Diceros bicornis minor: one gene and its partner. The protein of the gene in region 2 interacts with the protein of the main gene of each other region in a biochemical or structural test. Links are inferred from orthologs where the notes say so. Each region holds a gene or a part of one and is shown on either strand. Other genes may lie near its edges.

Region 1 (8,285 bases), on a different chromosome or scaffold from region 2:
TTGAATATCAAAATCGTTTTCAAATAAGGTAAATATTAAATGCTAAACAATAAGTTTATCTAATTTTGGCTTTTAAATTTTTTTACAGAGAAACAAAAGATATTTGTGTCTACTAATACGCACGTTTTGTGCCACATTGAAAAGTTTACTATGATAAAAAAATACACTTCTAGAAATTATGAAATGTATTTATAAATTGCCAATCTACTATAGGATGCTAATATATGATAGAAAGATTACAGTTGCCTACTTCCCAGTTTTCACTGGAAAGATTACAAGTAGTTAAAATTTATAGTCAATATGTAAAAAAAAAAAAACTACTAGAAATAATAAGGGTGAAGGAAAATGACTGTATATGAAAAGTAGGCAAGGAAAATAGAATGTATTTTCTGGATAAGGAAAAGTATGCAGGACATGGTTTTTTTTTGTTTTGTTTTTTGTGTGTGTATGTAAAAAGGAAAAAAGAAAGTAATTTTGTCCTAAAATAAAATGATTGCTCCAGAATAAGAAAGGAAAAAGATAGGACAAAACCTAAATGGATATAGAAAGTTGTAGAAGGTTTCTTGTGGAAAAAAACTCCTGAGAAAGGAATTTTATATGTGGTCAAGTTGACTAGGATTGGAATGGATTTATTTAAGTTAAAAAGAAAGAAAAAAAGAGAGTTTTAATATCAAAAGTACACTGGTGCAAAATTAGAATTTGGTTTTTTTTCCGTTCAAAGGACAAAGTTTTCTTAGGTTATTGGTCTGCTCTTAATAAGAAACTATATTGGGGCCGGCCTGGTGGCGCAAGTGGTTAAGTGCGCGTACTCCGCTGCTGCGGCGGCCCGGGGTTTGCCAGTTCAGATCCCGGGCATGAACTGACGCACCGCCTGCCAAGCCATGCTGTGGTGGCGTCCCATATAAAGTAGAGGAAGATGGGCACGGATGTTAGCCCATCAGCAAAAAAAGAGGAAGATTGGCAGATGTTAGCACAGGGCTGATCTCCTCACAAAACAAAATAAAAAAGAAACTATAAACAAAGGTTTTCCTTTACCTTTAATATAATCTGCTGAAGAAACAAAGATTCTGTGTCTTATAAAAATATTTCCTGTGTTTCATGTTTTCTTCATCATGCTTTGATTAATTAGAAAAATCGTCTTCTCTATTAAAAGAGCTAAGGTTTTTTACAACTATATAACTTTCTATATTTGCCTCTGAAATCTTTTGTCACTTTAGTTGAAGGGATAACTAAGTATTGTTTCACAGTGACCTATAATCCTATTTGATCAAATGTTTTAAATTTTTTGACATTTTTAACAAACTTCCTCAAATCAAATTCTGAATGAAGTCTTTTTGATCTTGAACTAACTTTGGGATTTTACAGAAGGCCCCTGGAACATCTCAAAAGATTTGTTTTCTCTCCTCATAAAAGAAAAATATTAAACTAATTGTGCTTATTTGATATGCTAAATTACATGGGAAGCTTTGTCAAATAAGAAGTGATGCTAAACTTTCTTTAGTTTATATTTGTATAAATATGTTATTAATATAAGTGTTAAAGAAATTATATGAAATTCCTAAAAATCTGATATGTCCTGGTATAATGTTATCAGTCACTATTCTAGTTATTGTTTTCAAGTGTATGTCAGAGAAATAACCAAATTTCCTTGTCAACCACATTATAAGGAACTCCCACAAGATCTTTAACCATGGTCATTTTTAAGTCTTTTGTCATTTACTGACAGTTATTGTTTTACTCTGATGTTTTTGCAAAAATCTTCTTGTGAAGTGCATTTCATCTTCAAAGAGATTCATGGAAAAGATCCTGACAAGTACTCTAAAATGCAGGCTTCTGATAACTGAACTGGATAAGAATTTATAGAATTCTAATGGGAAACTGATTGACTCATAAAGTTGCTAACCCAAGATGAAGCAAAACAAGAATTAATTACAGGAGACTAAATCAACTGATGAAGATGATTATGATTTTTATGAGTTCATTTAAAACATTGCTGATTCTGTAATGTTTTGTTTTCCAGATTTAAAGCATCCCTTTTTCTCCTGTCTTTTAAGCTATCTATAACTCAGGGCAACTTGGTAAAGTGTTTCTTTGCAACAAAAGTTGAAGCATTTATCTTTTTCTTCCTACCTGATTCCTCCAGAATTTAGAAACTCTTATTAAATATTCTTATTTTTCATGAAAATATATGTATTTGCATAAGTTCAATAAGAATCTATTCTCCTTGTAACAGGACACAATTGGACAAGTCCTTGGCTTGGCTTCCTAGCCTCAAGAGGCTTTTGATAGTCCACTCTGAGATTCCTTATGAAAAGTTCCAGCAAAGCAAATTCAAAGGAGCCTATATAGTCAATCACTATTCTTGCTGCACTTATGTAAATAATCAGCCAAGTTTATTCAAACTAGAATTAATTTGCAAACAAATTAGTCTTACTATGGTTATCTTTGATAGAAATGGGAATGATCATAAGGAGAAAAATTATATTTCAGAAATACATCTTGGTGGATATCAGATTCTAGTACTGTTAATTGTCTTTGAGGTTTTCTTTTCTACCTGTAACCTGGACTGGATCCTGAATTCTTCTAGTTCCCTCCAGTATTTGGCTAGAAATTTCCAAACTAAAATTTCCAATTTTCTCCCATTCTTTCAACCTGGAATCACTATGAAACTAAAACTGCCCTTTTCCAGAAGCCATGCCAGCTATAGCTGGACATATTGATATAAACTTCAGAGAAATCATCACTTGTGTGTGGACAATCTTCGTGCCTGTTGCTATGCGGCCACTCAGAAAGATGGCCAGAGACATTCACCCTGCAAACCAGGAAAATCTGTCAGATTGACACTGCTTGCCTTGCTCCACCTGAAGAGGCTTAGACACTGACATTTAGAAATCTTTTCAACTGGCTGCTTTCCAAACTCAGAAACTGAGTTTATAATTTGCTCCAACTATTAACCTTTGTTTTTCTTTTGTTTCCACAGAAATGCCTCTCACTAAATTACCTGATTGCTCACATCATATAGAGACCTAATTGAAATGAAAGCTCACCTGTATCACCACTTCCTGAAATAAAACATCCTCACATTCATCTTGTCCTAAGTAATCATGAGGATATGTGTTTGCTAATACATCATGTTATGTTCATGTAAATAACTTAAAAAAATCAAAACTCATGTGATTTATTTAGTTGTTTAAATCTTGGCTCCTAGAAATCTCTGCTTCAGGAATTTTTCAGTCCTTGGCTATTGTTCTCCTTATAGTAGTCATATTAACCCTCTAGTACGTCGTATACTCTCAAGGGTTTTAAATGTCTGTCAGCAGCCACTCACACGCCAAATGGTACCCATCAGGATCAGACAACAGGGTGAAAGCAATAACCACATATGGGGCCAGCTCTGTGGCATAGTGATTGAGTTCGGAGCGCTCCATTTTGGCAGCCCAGGTTGGTGGGTTTGGATCCTGGGCGCGGACCTACACCACTCATCAGCCATGCTGTGGCAGTGACCCACTTACAAAATGGAGGAGGATTGGCACAGATGTTAGCTAAGGGCTAGTCTTCCTCAAGCCAAAAAAAAAAACAAAACAGAAAGATTGGCAACAGATGTTAGCTCAGGGCAAATCTTCCTCAGCAAAAATAATAATAATAATAATAATAACCACATAAATGACAAAGACAGTGACTACATGGCCCTCCGGCCTGACGACTCAACTAGCGGAAACAGTGAATATGTGATTCTCTGGCCTGACTACGTCAATGGTCATAACCAAGAATAACGCTAAACTAGTTGGTCATTCTCTCAGCCTGCTGAGAGAATGACCAAAAGGGGGGAATTGTTAAAATCAAAAACAAATGGAGATCATCCTTGAAAATTCCCTGAGCAGACAAAACCAGTTTAATCATACAAGCGAAGCCTAATTTAGCTTATTTTGCAAGACTAACTTGCCCCGGGTCATTTCTTGCTTATGCCTCTGGAAATTACAAGCAAAACTTGAACTGTTTCCCAAGGTTGATATGAAGTAAGCACTGAAGATGCTAATATTATAACCAATCACTGTGAAGATAAATAGTCACTACTTCTCACTATATAAACTGCTTTATAACACTACACCCCTGAGCCTCAGTTCATGTTTTTGTTTGAATGTTCCTCGTTTGCAGACTGTCTTTTTGTTGTGTATACAATAAACTTTTACTAATTACTACTTCAGTGATTCGCTGGTTTTACTTCTATTATTTCTGAACTTTTGACAAGGCAGACATCCCACGTTATTATTTAAAGATAGAATCATGAGCTTCAACAGTCAGCCAACCAAGAGATTTGTGTCCTATTGAGAAAGTATGAGAAGCCTAACCAGGAGACATGTCTCTTTACGGAGGTAGGATTAGGGACTGTCTGCCAGCAGGCCAAGAGTCCTTAAACAATATTGTGGTAGATTGCATTATTGGCTTCAATTCTTCACCTCTTATTGTTACTTGGAGTTTTCCCTGTGACTTAGTAGTTCCTCCTACTAAAGGTGAACTTGGCTATTCCATTGGCTTGGGTGGAAGTGACAGTACGTCAGTTCTGAACCTAGACCTTCAGAGATCCTTCATATTTTTGCTTGTTCTCTTGTGCCTATGCCATTGCCATGAGATAAACTTACTTTAGGTAGCTGCTGCCCCTTCAGTCTGGGCCTCAGAATAAACACATTTTGAGCAGAGCTGTTTCTACCTATCTGCGACTTGTAGCATGAGGCAGAACCAGGTGTTGCAGTCAGAGGCAAAATGTCTCTAGCCACTTCACAGATCCATGAGCAAAATAAATGCTTTTGTTAAATGCCACTGAGATTCTTTTGTGGTTTTTTTGTTACACAGCAATAGCTGACTGTTGCATTTGTGCTAGGTCAATTTCCAACATATGAACAAATAGAAAATGGAGGTTCCAAATTTTTACCCCATAGAATATGGCAATGATAATTTCAGCTTGAAAAGTTTTTAAAGCAAGTTTATCGAGCACCCACTTTGACCACAAAAATATATTAAGAAAGTACCAAATAGAATGTCTACTTACCATTAAACAATGTAAATTCTTGGTGAAGCTTTGAATACAATAACAGTAGCAACTATATTTTTTTAAGGCAAAGTGAGCCAGGTATTACACTACACACATTACATTAATTACCTCATTTCACTTTCATCAGTTATGCAAGGTAGATGGTAAAAATGCAAACTCCTGTCAGTGAATGTTGGCCAACCAATAGTTACTTAAAACAGTTAACTTGCAAATTCCCCTTAACTAACAAAATCTTTGGATGTTCTCCATTCTATTATTAACTAAAGAAACTCGGAATCAAATAGGCATAACTCTCTGAGGTTTGGAAACCATCCTTGTCAGGTCACCTTGCCTGCAGAAATAAGACTTAATATCACTACTTCCTCTTGCAAATATTTTCTGGGCCTATGACAACTTTTAGTAGTTTCCATCCTTGACCTGTTAGTGTTACGGTAATTTTATTGCAGTGACCAGAACTGGAGATGTTTAGTCTATTGGCATTCTAACTTACCTGAATGAAAAGTCAAGTCATATTTTGTTTGGGCTTCAATGAACCTATTCACTCGATGGAAGTTAGTCTAGTCTTTTTGTATTGATGTAGATTGAAAAACACGGGCATGCGCTTTTTTTGCAACTCATCCTATCAAGAGGAGGAATCTATTCCCCACCCCTTGAATCTCGGCTGTTCTCATCACTTGCTTTGACAAAAAGAATGTGGTAGAAGTGAAGTTGCGTGACTTCCAAACTAGATCTTAAGCTTCTGCCTTGGGTCTCTGGGAATGCTGCCCAAGAGGGACATGTAAGGCAGCCAGTCTAGCTTACCGAGGATGAGAGGCCAATGGAGAACTAATTGCCCCAAGAGATAGCCAGATCCAACTGCCAGATACGTGCCTGAGGCTATCTTGGACCTTCTAGCCCAGCTGATCCCAGCTGTATGCCCAGGCAAAACCAGCAGAGGAGCACCCACCCAACACACAGAATCATGAGAAATAGTAAGTGGTTGTTGGTTTAAGCTGCTAAGTTTTGGGGTGGTTTATTACACGGAAATATACAATACAGAATATACTCATACTTTTCCTTCTTATTCTTAGTAGCATAGTGGAAAATATTAGATAATTTGGAAAAAAGTAGTGAACTAAGGAGAACAGGCAGTGAGTAAATTCTATGCAGATGGATCACACAGCTTTATTTCACAAACAGGAAAGGGGACAAATGGAGCAAGTCTCATTGCAGATGAGAGGAGATGAGTGACTTCTGCAGATCAGGGAGGTAACCAGCAAGTTGTAGGGGGACGGCTCTGCCACGGCACCCTCGTGACCCCGCACATATCCAGATAGGCCAGGTTTGGACTGTAGCCTGTCCTAAGTCTTGGCAGATCCTCCTTGCGGTCTTCCTGGAACACCACAGCACGGAGGCTTGTGAGGAGTTGCTACCAGGACATGTCTCACTCGCTTCCCTGTCTGTCAGGGAGACTGACATAAGACAGTTTCTCATCGCCTCCCAGGTTCTGATGAGGTGTGAGGCATTCTGCCTCGCCCACCTTAGACAGAACGTCAGGCTATAAAACCATTTAGTTGCAACCCGGAACTCCCTGCTTGGCCACAGAGTGTACTGCAACTCGCTCTGCAATCATCTGGCCCTTTTGTTGCATGTCATCCTTTTTGGTCTGTGGAGCCAGGACCACGGGGAACTGGCATCTTTAGCTACTCTTCCTTTAGTTGTCCATGTAAGTAATAAACCATCTAAAGCTAAAAAGGGCTCGTTGTGTCTTCACTGGCCCAAACTGGCAGGGCTTGGCCGTGGCCTTGCCTATTGTGTGCTTGACACAGGTCAGTAATGAAATCAAAAGAGCTTGTCATAAAGAATTGGCTGGCGCAGGGAAGGCCCTGAAGTATGGCTCCTGGTGCATAATAGGTACTGAGGTACAGTGGCTAATGCATAGTAGGCACAGCAGTATAATGGATGGTGCATAGTAAGTACTGAGGTACAGTGGCTGGTCCATGGAAGGCACATAAGTGTAGTGGCTGGTGCAAATTAGGCACTGAGGATGAGTGTCCGGTGCATAGACGGTACTGAGGTATAGTGGTACAGAGCCAGAGCTGACGGCCTAGTGGTTCAAGTGCGGCACGCTCCACTTCAGCAGCGGGGGTTCAGTTCCCGGGTGCGGAACCACAACACTCATCTGTCAGTAGCCATGTTGTGGCAGCAGCTCACATAGAAGAACTAGAAGGACTTACAACTAGAATATACAACTACGTACTGGAGCTTTGGGGAGGGAAAAAAAAAAGAGAGGAAGATTGGCAACAGATGTTAGCTCAGGGCCAATCATTCCCTTCCCAAAAAAGAATTTCTTTAAAAAAAAAAAAAGAATTAAACAAACAAAAAAACCCATAATTCTGTAGTTAAGGTGGGGTGAAGATCTGACACATTTTCTGAAGTACAAGAAAGAGGATTGCCTTTTTCCTCCTTTGATCTTCTTCAAAGTGTAGGGAACACAATGACAGCCACAGTAGAGGAAAATGAAAACAATAACTGCAAAATTAAATAGGAATTATATGCTTTATCAATTTAGGTTTATGTGATTTCTAGATTGATTTGTATGAGTTCTTTATATAGTAAAGACACTTTCTTGTTGTATTTGTTGAATATATGTTTTCCCAGTTTGTTTACTTTGGGGGCTTTCTGAAATCTGGATTTCTACATTTTTACATAGCTAGATCCATAAATCTTTCATTCAGCACTTCCTTCATCTTTTCTAATTTAAAAAGTTCTCCCTACTCCAAAGGCTTGAGCAATATCTGTTTTTTTTTTTTCTATGACAAAAAATATTTAATTCTTCAATCCTCCCAGAATTTGTTTTGGTAGGTGGTTAAAGGTCAGCCTCAACTATTTTTTCCTAACTAGCTAATGAAGTTTCTTTTTTTTTGGTGAGATTAGCCCTGAGCTAACATCTGTTGCCAATCCTCCTCTCTTTGCTGAGGAAGACTGGCCCTGGGCTAACATCCCTGCCCATCTTCGTCCACTTTATATGGGATGCTGCCACAGCATGGCCCGACAAGTGGTGTGTCAGTGCGTGCCTGGGATCCGAACCCGTGATCCCTGGGCCACCGCAGCGGAGTGTGTGCACCCAACCACTACGCCACCGGGCCGGCCCTTTTTTTAAATTAATTAATTAATTAATTAGTGAGGAAGATTAGCCCTGAGTTAACATCTGTCGCCAATCCTCCTCTTTTTTTTGCTGAGGAAGACTGGCCCT
Region 2 (8,449 bases):
TGCCATAAGAAATTACCAAAAACATAGTGGCCCAAAGTAACGCAAATTTATTATCTTATATTTCTGTAGTTCAGAAGTCCAACATGAGTCTCACTGGGCTAAAATCCAGGCATTGGAAGGGCTAGAGTCCTTCCTGGAAGCTATAGAAGGGAATTTGTTTCCTTGACTCTTCTAGCTTCCAGAGACACCAGCATTCCTGGGGTGCCCTTCCTCCATCTTCTCCAGTCAGCAACATAGCATCTCTCTGCCTCTGCCTCTGGTGTCACACCTCTTCCTCTGATTCCCTCTTCTGTCTCTCCCTTCCACTTTTAAGGGCTCTTGTGATTTCACTGGGCCCATCTGGACAATCTAGGATTATCTCCCCATTTTATATAGCAACCTTAATTCCATCTTCAATGCAATGAAACACAACATGTTCACAGGTTGTGGGGATTAAGACCTGCACATCATTGGGGGGTGGCATTATTCTGCCTACCACCATGATTATAAGAATTTATACACCCACTAGCAGCGCAAGTGTTTCTGCTGCTCCACATCCTTGGTAACATTTGGTCTTTAAGACATTGGTTTTTGCCAACTGATGGGTGTGAGATGATATCTGATTTTTTTGTTTTAATTTTCATTTCCTTAATTGCTTATGAGACTGAGAACTCTTTTTATATGTTTTCCTCTCCTGTGACTTGGCCATTCATATCCTTTGCCTATTTTCGATTGGGATGTTTGTGTTTTCTTATTGACTTGTAGAATTTACCTCTTTATTCTGGACACTAATTTTTTGTTTAAAAATTTTAAAGTTGCAATCTTAATGTAGTTGATTTTTAAAATTTATTTACTTTATGGTTTATGATTTTTTTTGTTATGGAGAAATCTTTCTTTTTCCCAAGTTCATAAAAATACTCTCCTATATTTTCTCCTAAAAGCATTATGGTTTTGTTTTTCACACTTGTCTTTAGCCCATCTGGAATTTACTTTTGTACATATGAGGAAAGGATCAAAATATATACTTTGTGTATGCATATATAAACAATTGTCCCAGCCCCATTTATTGAGTAGTCAATTGTTTCCCTTCTGATTTGTAGCAACTCTTTCATATCTAAGGTTTCTCATGTGTCTGGGTCTGTTTCTGGGTACTTATCATACCTTTACCAATTATACATTTTCTTAATTTCAATAACTTTATAATAAATCATTACATCTCATAGGGCAAATTTCTTCACCTTCTACTTCAAATTCTTCTTCGCTCCTTTATATAAATTTTACCATTAGTTTGTTAACTTTCTTGAAAAACTAAGTTAGGATGTTGTTTTTTCACACTGAATATATAGACTAACTTGGGATTACCGACATCTTTGTGAAACTCAATCTTCCCATTCAAGAACATGATACAAATTTCCATCTATGTAGTTTTTTTTACGTCTTTCAATAAATACTTGTGGTATCAGCTGTGTCGTATGTATCTTTCATTAAATTGATTCCTAAGTAGTCCATATTTGTTGTTGATATTGTAAATGACGGTTTTTTTCCTAAGATATTTTCAATTTGTCGTCTGGTATTAAGAAAGCAATTGATTTTTGTATGTTGATCTTTCATCCAGCAAAACTTGTTCAAGTCTCTTATCAACAATCTGTCTTTAGAGTCTCTTAGATTTTCTGTATGTAGGTAATCAACTCGTAATCATTGATAATAGCTTTGTTTTTTCTTTCCATCCTTATTCCTTGTATTTCTGTCTTTGTCCTACTTTACTGGCTGGGACCTCCAATACTTTGATGAACAGAACCAGTGTCCACGGGAATCCTTTTGTTATTCCTGTTTGTAAAGAGTATATTTCTAAGAATTCACCATTATGTATGAATATGTTTTTATAGGTTTTTGGTATTTATGTTTTATTAAGTTCCATTAAGTTCCTGTCTGTTTCCTAGTTTGAACATGAATGAGTGCTGAATTTTATTAAATGATTTTTCTCCATCTGTTGACATGACCATATGATGTAATGGAAGAAATGTAAAAAATTAATGCAGTAAATTAATAGATATTCTAATGTTTAATCAATCTTGCAGTCTTGGAAAAAACTCACCTTGGTTCTGATGTATTTTTATGTATATATTGCTGGGTTTGTTTGGCTAACATCTTATTTAGAGCTGTTGCATCTATGTTCTTAAATGAGACTGGCCTGCAATTTTCCTTTCTTGTACTGTCCTTGTCTCTTCTCAGTATCATACTTACTACACATATAAAAAGAATTTAGCACATTCCTGCACACTCTGTTCTCAGAAGCAGTTTGTATAAGATGGGGATTACATCTTCCTTGAATGTTTGATAGAACCTGCTTATCAAATCTTTTGGACAATGCTTTATATATTTCATTATATTGAACTTTATATAGTTTAAGTTTCTGTATTTTTCAGCAGTTTTTTTTTGGCATTTGAATGATCACTTACGACCGGAGTGGACTTATCAGTTATGAGAGACGTATGCTAAAATCTCCCTCCATGAGTATGGATTTGTCAATTTCTCCTTATAATTCTGTCAATCTTTGATATATATTTTTTAAAACTATGTTACTAGATAATTCTGAGAGATCTTGTTGGTAAAGTGTTTCTTTTATCGTAATTTAATTATTCTCTTCGCCTTAAAGTCTATTTTCCCCCCCCAAAGCCCCAGTAGTTAGTTGTATGTCATAGATGCACATCCTTCTAGTTGCTGTACATGGGATGCGACCTCAGCATGGCCGGAGAAGCGGTACGTCGGTGCGCGCCCGGGATCCAAACCGGGGCCGTCAGCAGCGGAGCGCTGACAACTTAACCACCAAGCCACGGGGCCGGCCCCTTAAAGTCTATTTTTGACTAATATTAATATAGCTATGCTATATATTTGGTATATTCTCCCCACCCCACTACCCTCTTTTAAGTTTTTTACTTTAGACATTTATAGATTTCATGTTTTATGTGTGGTTCTTATAGTGACATGTAGCTTGGGATTTGAAAGACAGACCTATCTGTCGACATTTGTCTCTTAACTGCAAAGTTTGTTTCATTAATATTGATGGCAATTATTGGAATATTTGGATTTATTTTTACTACATTATGTTGTGCTTTTTATTTACCTTTGTCTATGCTTTTCTTCTCTCCATTACGGCTTTCTATTGATCAGGTCAGGGTTTTTTTTAATTCCCTCTATTCCTTCTATTTCCTTTTGGTTTTGGTGGTTGTGCTTTAAAAGATAAACATTCTTAACTAACAAAGCAAAATTAATTAATTTCTCTATCACCTCTCTGAACAATGGAAGGATTTTAGAATACCTTACTGAACTTAAAGAGTACATTTTGGATTATTTCCTTAGATCTTTCTTCCGGTTCCTTAATATTCTCTTCAGCTTTGCCTACTTTGCCATTTAACCCATTCCTTGAGGGTTTTTAAAAATTTTGATTAACTTTTTTTTAAATTCTAGAAGTTGTATTTGGTTCTTTAAAAAGTCTACCTAGTCTTTTTCTTTTGACAACGTCTTTTTCTTTTTTCATGTTTCCAATTCCTTCTTGTAGATCTTAAATAATTTTAAACATTTATTTTCTAGTTTCTAGATGACATTTTAAATAAATGAAGTTCTTGGGGGAGAAGTGTCTAATCCTTTTTGGTTTCTGCTGATTCTGATTTATGGTGAGTTGTTTCCTCATATGTTTACATCTTTTTTACTGTGAATTTATTTTTACTGTGGCAGACAGTATACATTTGAATCTTGAACATTTGTGTGGGCAGGCCCAAAGTCACAAACTCTTAGCGACCCCGTGGAGTTCAGTCAGAGAGACAAGCTTACTTCTCACTTGCTTGTGCTGAGGCAGAGTGGGGCTGTGCCTATTGAAATCCCATGCGCAGCTCACTGAGGGTCCAGCTTTAGGCGCCCGTCTCACCTGTAACTCCTCAGCTGGCCTAAGCTTTGCCCCTACATGGTCATTAACACTTAGTTAATCAGGCCCTAATAACCTCCACCTCCTCCCCTCGCCTCCTGGGGAGCCCTAGCTGCAGCTCTTGGGCTCACCTTCTGATGTGGTTCCACCTCTGTCTTTGGCCCCTGGACACTTCCCTGACTTTACTGGGAGCTCATTTGTGCATTTAAAGTTTTTATTATTTTTATTATGTAAATACATTTCTAGGTGTTTTGTGCGGGAGAGTTTTCAGCTTATACAGACCCCATATATTGGCAGAATTTACCCTAAATTTACTTAAAAATATGATCTTTAAGCCTAGTGAAATAATATAATTTCCACTTAATATCAGGTTATGAAAAGAAACATACCTAAAATCAGTTTATTCCTTTCCCCCAGCTCTTTCTCTTTTTAGGTTTACCAGTTTTGCCATATTGTTTGTCATTTAAAAAGTGTGTTTATAAAAGTATAGTTGCAATTCCAGAAGGATTCAAGATGAAATGAGTCGGAATGGACTTGGCTTCTAGAGCCATAGGAATTCTTACTGTGTTGGTTTATCTTGGAATCAGAGAGTAACTTTCTCAGCTTAGACCTGTAAAACTATGTACAAAGGAAAAGTGAAAAAAAGTTTTCTGTACATAAAGGGTGTGAAATAACAAAAGTGCACACAAATGCTGAAATATGCTCTTGCTTCACACCTCTACGCCTGCTATTTCTCCCCCTAACCCGCCTCCCGCCCTTTCATCCCTCAGGGCTACCAATTCCAGTTACAACAGCCAGTCCTCAGAGGACAGTCGCAGCCCCGTTCTCCCCCCTCTTTCCCCTCTGACCCTCCTCCAATTAATCTGCAGTGTAAACTTTTGCGCTTTACTATTGTGCAACGTCCACGTTTCCCTCGCCCTCCCCGCCAGCCCCCGCCCCCCAAATCCAGGGGAACTCCCGTTACCGCAGTGCCACCGGCATTACTCATTCATCCCCATTCAGACTCTCCCAGCGTTTATTAAGGGCTCTCGCCTCCTGCGTCTCACTCGCCTCGCTCCTTCTCCGCTCACTGGAGAGCCTCTGGCCTCGTCCCCTCCCGCCAGCTGTGGGAAGAACTTCGTCTCTCCAGCAATGCTCCTCGCTGCGATTCTGTTTTGCGCTCTCTGGTCTGCAGTGTCGGCCGAGAACTCGGACGATTATGAGCTCATGTATGTGAATCTGGACAACGAAATAGACAATGGACTCCATCCCACTGAGGACCGTAAGTTCATTTTAACTGTTTCTCTGCTAACCCTAATTACATATCCACCTCTTTGGGTCTAAATAGTATACATATACTTCGTAGCCAATGAAATAAGCTAAAAATTAAAGTTTCGCAAAAGAGAGAAGCACTTTAGGAAAGCGGGAGGTTTCAAAAAGTTGTTTCTGTCACAGATACACAATAGGTTGAACTGTATGAAATCGCCGATATTTGCCTCTTCTGAGCTACGGCAATTTCATAAGAGTTCAACTAAATATATACCTGCATGAATGGTTTCTGTCATTCTCAAGATACTTATACGCTGTTTTTCGGAAGCGTCCTTAAGGGGAAGGGGGGTGCTGGGGATGGTCTGTGAATTGGGACCGCCAAGGGAGGTCAGCTTTTTACAAAGCACACCCGAGGAAGGCCTGGGCGGGTCGGTAACGTGTGTTGTGTCCCGCGCTCTAGCCACGCCGTGCGACTGCCGTCGGGAGCACTCGGAGTGGGACAAGCTCTTCACCATGCTGGAGAACTCGCAGATGAGGGAGGGCATGCTGCTGCAGGCCACCGACGACGTCCTCCGGGGCGAGCTGCAGAGGCTGCGGGCGGAGCTGGGCCGGCTGGCCGGCAGCCTGGCGGGGCCGTGCGCGCCCGCGGCCCCCGCGGAGGCCGGGCTGGCCGGCGCGCTGGACGAGCTGCTGCGGGCGAGCCGAGACGCGGGCCGCAGGCTGGCGCGCCTGGAGGGCGCCGGGGCGCAGCGCCCGCAGGAGGCGGGGCGGGCCCTGGGCGCCGTGCTCGAGGAGCTGCGGCAGACGCGAGCGGACCTCCGCGCCGTGCAGGGCTGGGCGGCCGGGCGCTGGCTGCCCGCAGGTAAGGACCCTGCGGCTTTGTTCTCGGAGCGCTCTGCGGGAAGCCAAGTCAGGCAACCCGCTGGGGGACGCTTTAATAGGGGAAACACACATACGGACCTCTGCTTCTCCATGACGGTCAGAGAGCTCAGACACACCATGCTAGGCGGGAAAACTGGCTTTAAAAAGTATTCTCCAGCCCCGAGGAACCCAGAAGATCGCTGTGCACGCAACCACCATAGTCTTGAAATAGACAGCAAGGGCCCGTGACTGACACCCGATCCCACCAGGCGTCGCAGGAGCTCCCTTGACCGATTATAACCGTGACCTCTCTCAGTGGCCGGCTTCTCTCCGTTAGGGATTTCCACTTCTAACTTTAACCTGTCTGCCTTTTGCGGGGAGCTCTGGTTCCTCGGGCTATTTCAGGCCCAGCCTAACTTTTAGAGACGTTTTCCAATCCCTGGGCCGGCCCCACCTCCCCGCTGTTGCTGAGCAAGAGACTTGGGGACGAAGCTGATCTCCCGGAGGAGTTAGTGGAATTCCTGAGGGGTCCCCCAGCCCCCGGAGGTCTGTAGAATTAGCGCGAGAGTGGAGGTCCGATGATCTGCGGCTTGGGATAAACCGGCCGTTGCGGGATCCACAGTGGAAGAGGCAGATGTGGGAGCCAGTTGGTACCCTGGCCCCACCCCAGGGATCTGGAGGATCACGGCCAAACAGGAGAGAGGCGGTTCAGACTAGATGCATCTTGCCAAAGTCCATGTGGTACTACTGGAATCTCCAAACACGTGTGGGCCCGAAATAATACATTTTAAAGATGGTTAAAAGAAATAGAGAAGATTTGGAACCAGGTGACACTCCTTTAGAAAGCAAAATTTCTAAGAAATGGTGATGCAACCATCATTTGTCGTTTATATTAGAAAATCAGTGTCCTAGGTAAGAAAATATAACTTTTTTTGTGTGTGTGTGTGAGGAAGATCAGCCCTGAGCTAACATCCATGCTAATCCTCCTCTTTTTGCTGAGGAAGACGGGCTCTGAGCTAACATCTATTGCCAATCTTCCTCCTCCTTTTTTCCCCCAAAGCCCCAGTAGATAGTTGTATGTCATAGTTGCACATCCTTCTAGTTGCTGTATGTGGGACGCGGCCTCAGCATGGCCGAACAAGTGGTGCGTTGGTGTGCGCCCGGCATCCGAACCTGGGCTGCCAGTAGTACAGCGCGTTCACTTAACCGCTAAGCCACAGGGCCGGCCCTGTGGCTATTTTAATGGATGAAATTTCTTGTCTTTTGCAAACTAGGTATAGTCATTGTACATAGAACCAAAAAACTGAAGAATTATGCAATTTTCATCTTCACTTGTGAATACTAGTTAGAGCAGAAGAAAGATGTATTTCTGAATTCTAAAATGTTAATTTCTTATTACATCCAATATTACTTTACCCACATGCTTTGATTTCTCCTCCCTTGGTTTCCTGCCAGCTTGGCTCCTAAAGGATTTCTAATCATTCTGTTGTCGGCCTCCTAAGAACCTGGTTTTCATTTTGTTTGGTCTTTGATAATATAATCAGAAAAATCTATTAGTTAAAAGCCATTTCGTGTGACAGTTTCTGATATTTTAAAGAGATGTCAAGAGACTCAATTACTGGTCCCCAAAAGAAGCCACAAAAACCCTGCCCCCATGCAGTTCCAGTCCATGAACTCACACAGCCAGCGCAGCCCGCAGAGGAAGCTGGGTCTCGGAGAGGCAATGGAGGAATGCTTTGGAATGCAATGCTGACCGCCTGGGCTTATTTAAACAGGAAATCAGTTAATTAGATTGCAGTAGGCGCCCTCTTGAACACTACTTTACTGAAACATTACAGAGAATATCTCAAATGCCCATGCATATGCTGATCTTTTGTTCCATGATCTTTGTTTGATTTAATTAATCCAGTTTGTTGATTTAAATGCACCTACCAATTTCATTTGAGGAAAAAAATCAATGTCTTATTAAAAATTAATTTTAAAAAATCTTCAAAAATTCAAATTATTCAGTAAAAAAGTTAATACCGAAGTGTGACGGGACCAATTTTGCGCTTTAGTATTGTAGTTACTTTCAGAGGATTTTCTGAATCTCACTATTTCTTTGACTATTACTAAAGGATAAGGTCCCCATCTGCTCCAGTTTTTCAGGACAGAGCCTAGCCCTCCGCCCCTTGCCCACGTTTAGCTTCGTTGACCACACTTTGCGTGGATGTTTGGTTCCTGCAAGTTCCATTCAACAGTTAGTCTTTAAATGCTCTGCGAGTTTGCTTTTCAAAGCTGTCTTATGGCAAATCTTCTTTAGGTTGTTATAAAGTGAATACTTAGCCCTAATTTAGATTTAAAAAAATTCTTTATCTGATCTTTCACACATAGATGAGGTTAGCATAAAGCAGAGCTCGCTTGTTAAAGGTTTTATCATGTGGTTTCCCAGAGACACCT

What was found.
Region 1: the proteins of PTX3 (region 2) and FGF2 form a complex in vitro, tested with the Homo sapiens proteins (3 studies listed by BioGRID and IntAct, with this or other methods). The link is inferred for Diceros bicornis minor from reciprocal best matches to the Homo sapiens genes PTX3 and FGF2.

Annotation. Positions count from the first base shown.
Region 1 is NC_080750.1:15,952,443-15,960,727, reverse strand, and holds the start of FGF2 (fibroblast growth factor 2), read right to left. Parts: upstream 3,429-8,285; coding exon 3,329-3,428; intron 1-3,328. UniProt on the Homo sapiens protein: Acts as a ligand for FGFR1, FGFR2, FGFR3 and FGFR4. Also acts as an integrin ligand which is required for FGF2 signaling. Binds to integrin ITGAV:ITGB3.
Region 2 is NC_080754.1:63,620,239-63,628,687, forward strand, and holds the start of PTX3 (pentraxin-related protein PTX3), read left to right. Parts: upstream 1-4,970; 5' UTR 4,971-5,032; coding exon 5,033-5,162; intron 5,163-5,609; coding exon 5,610-6,011; intron 6,012-8,449.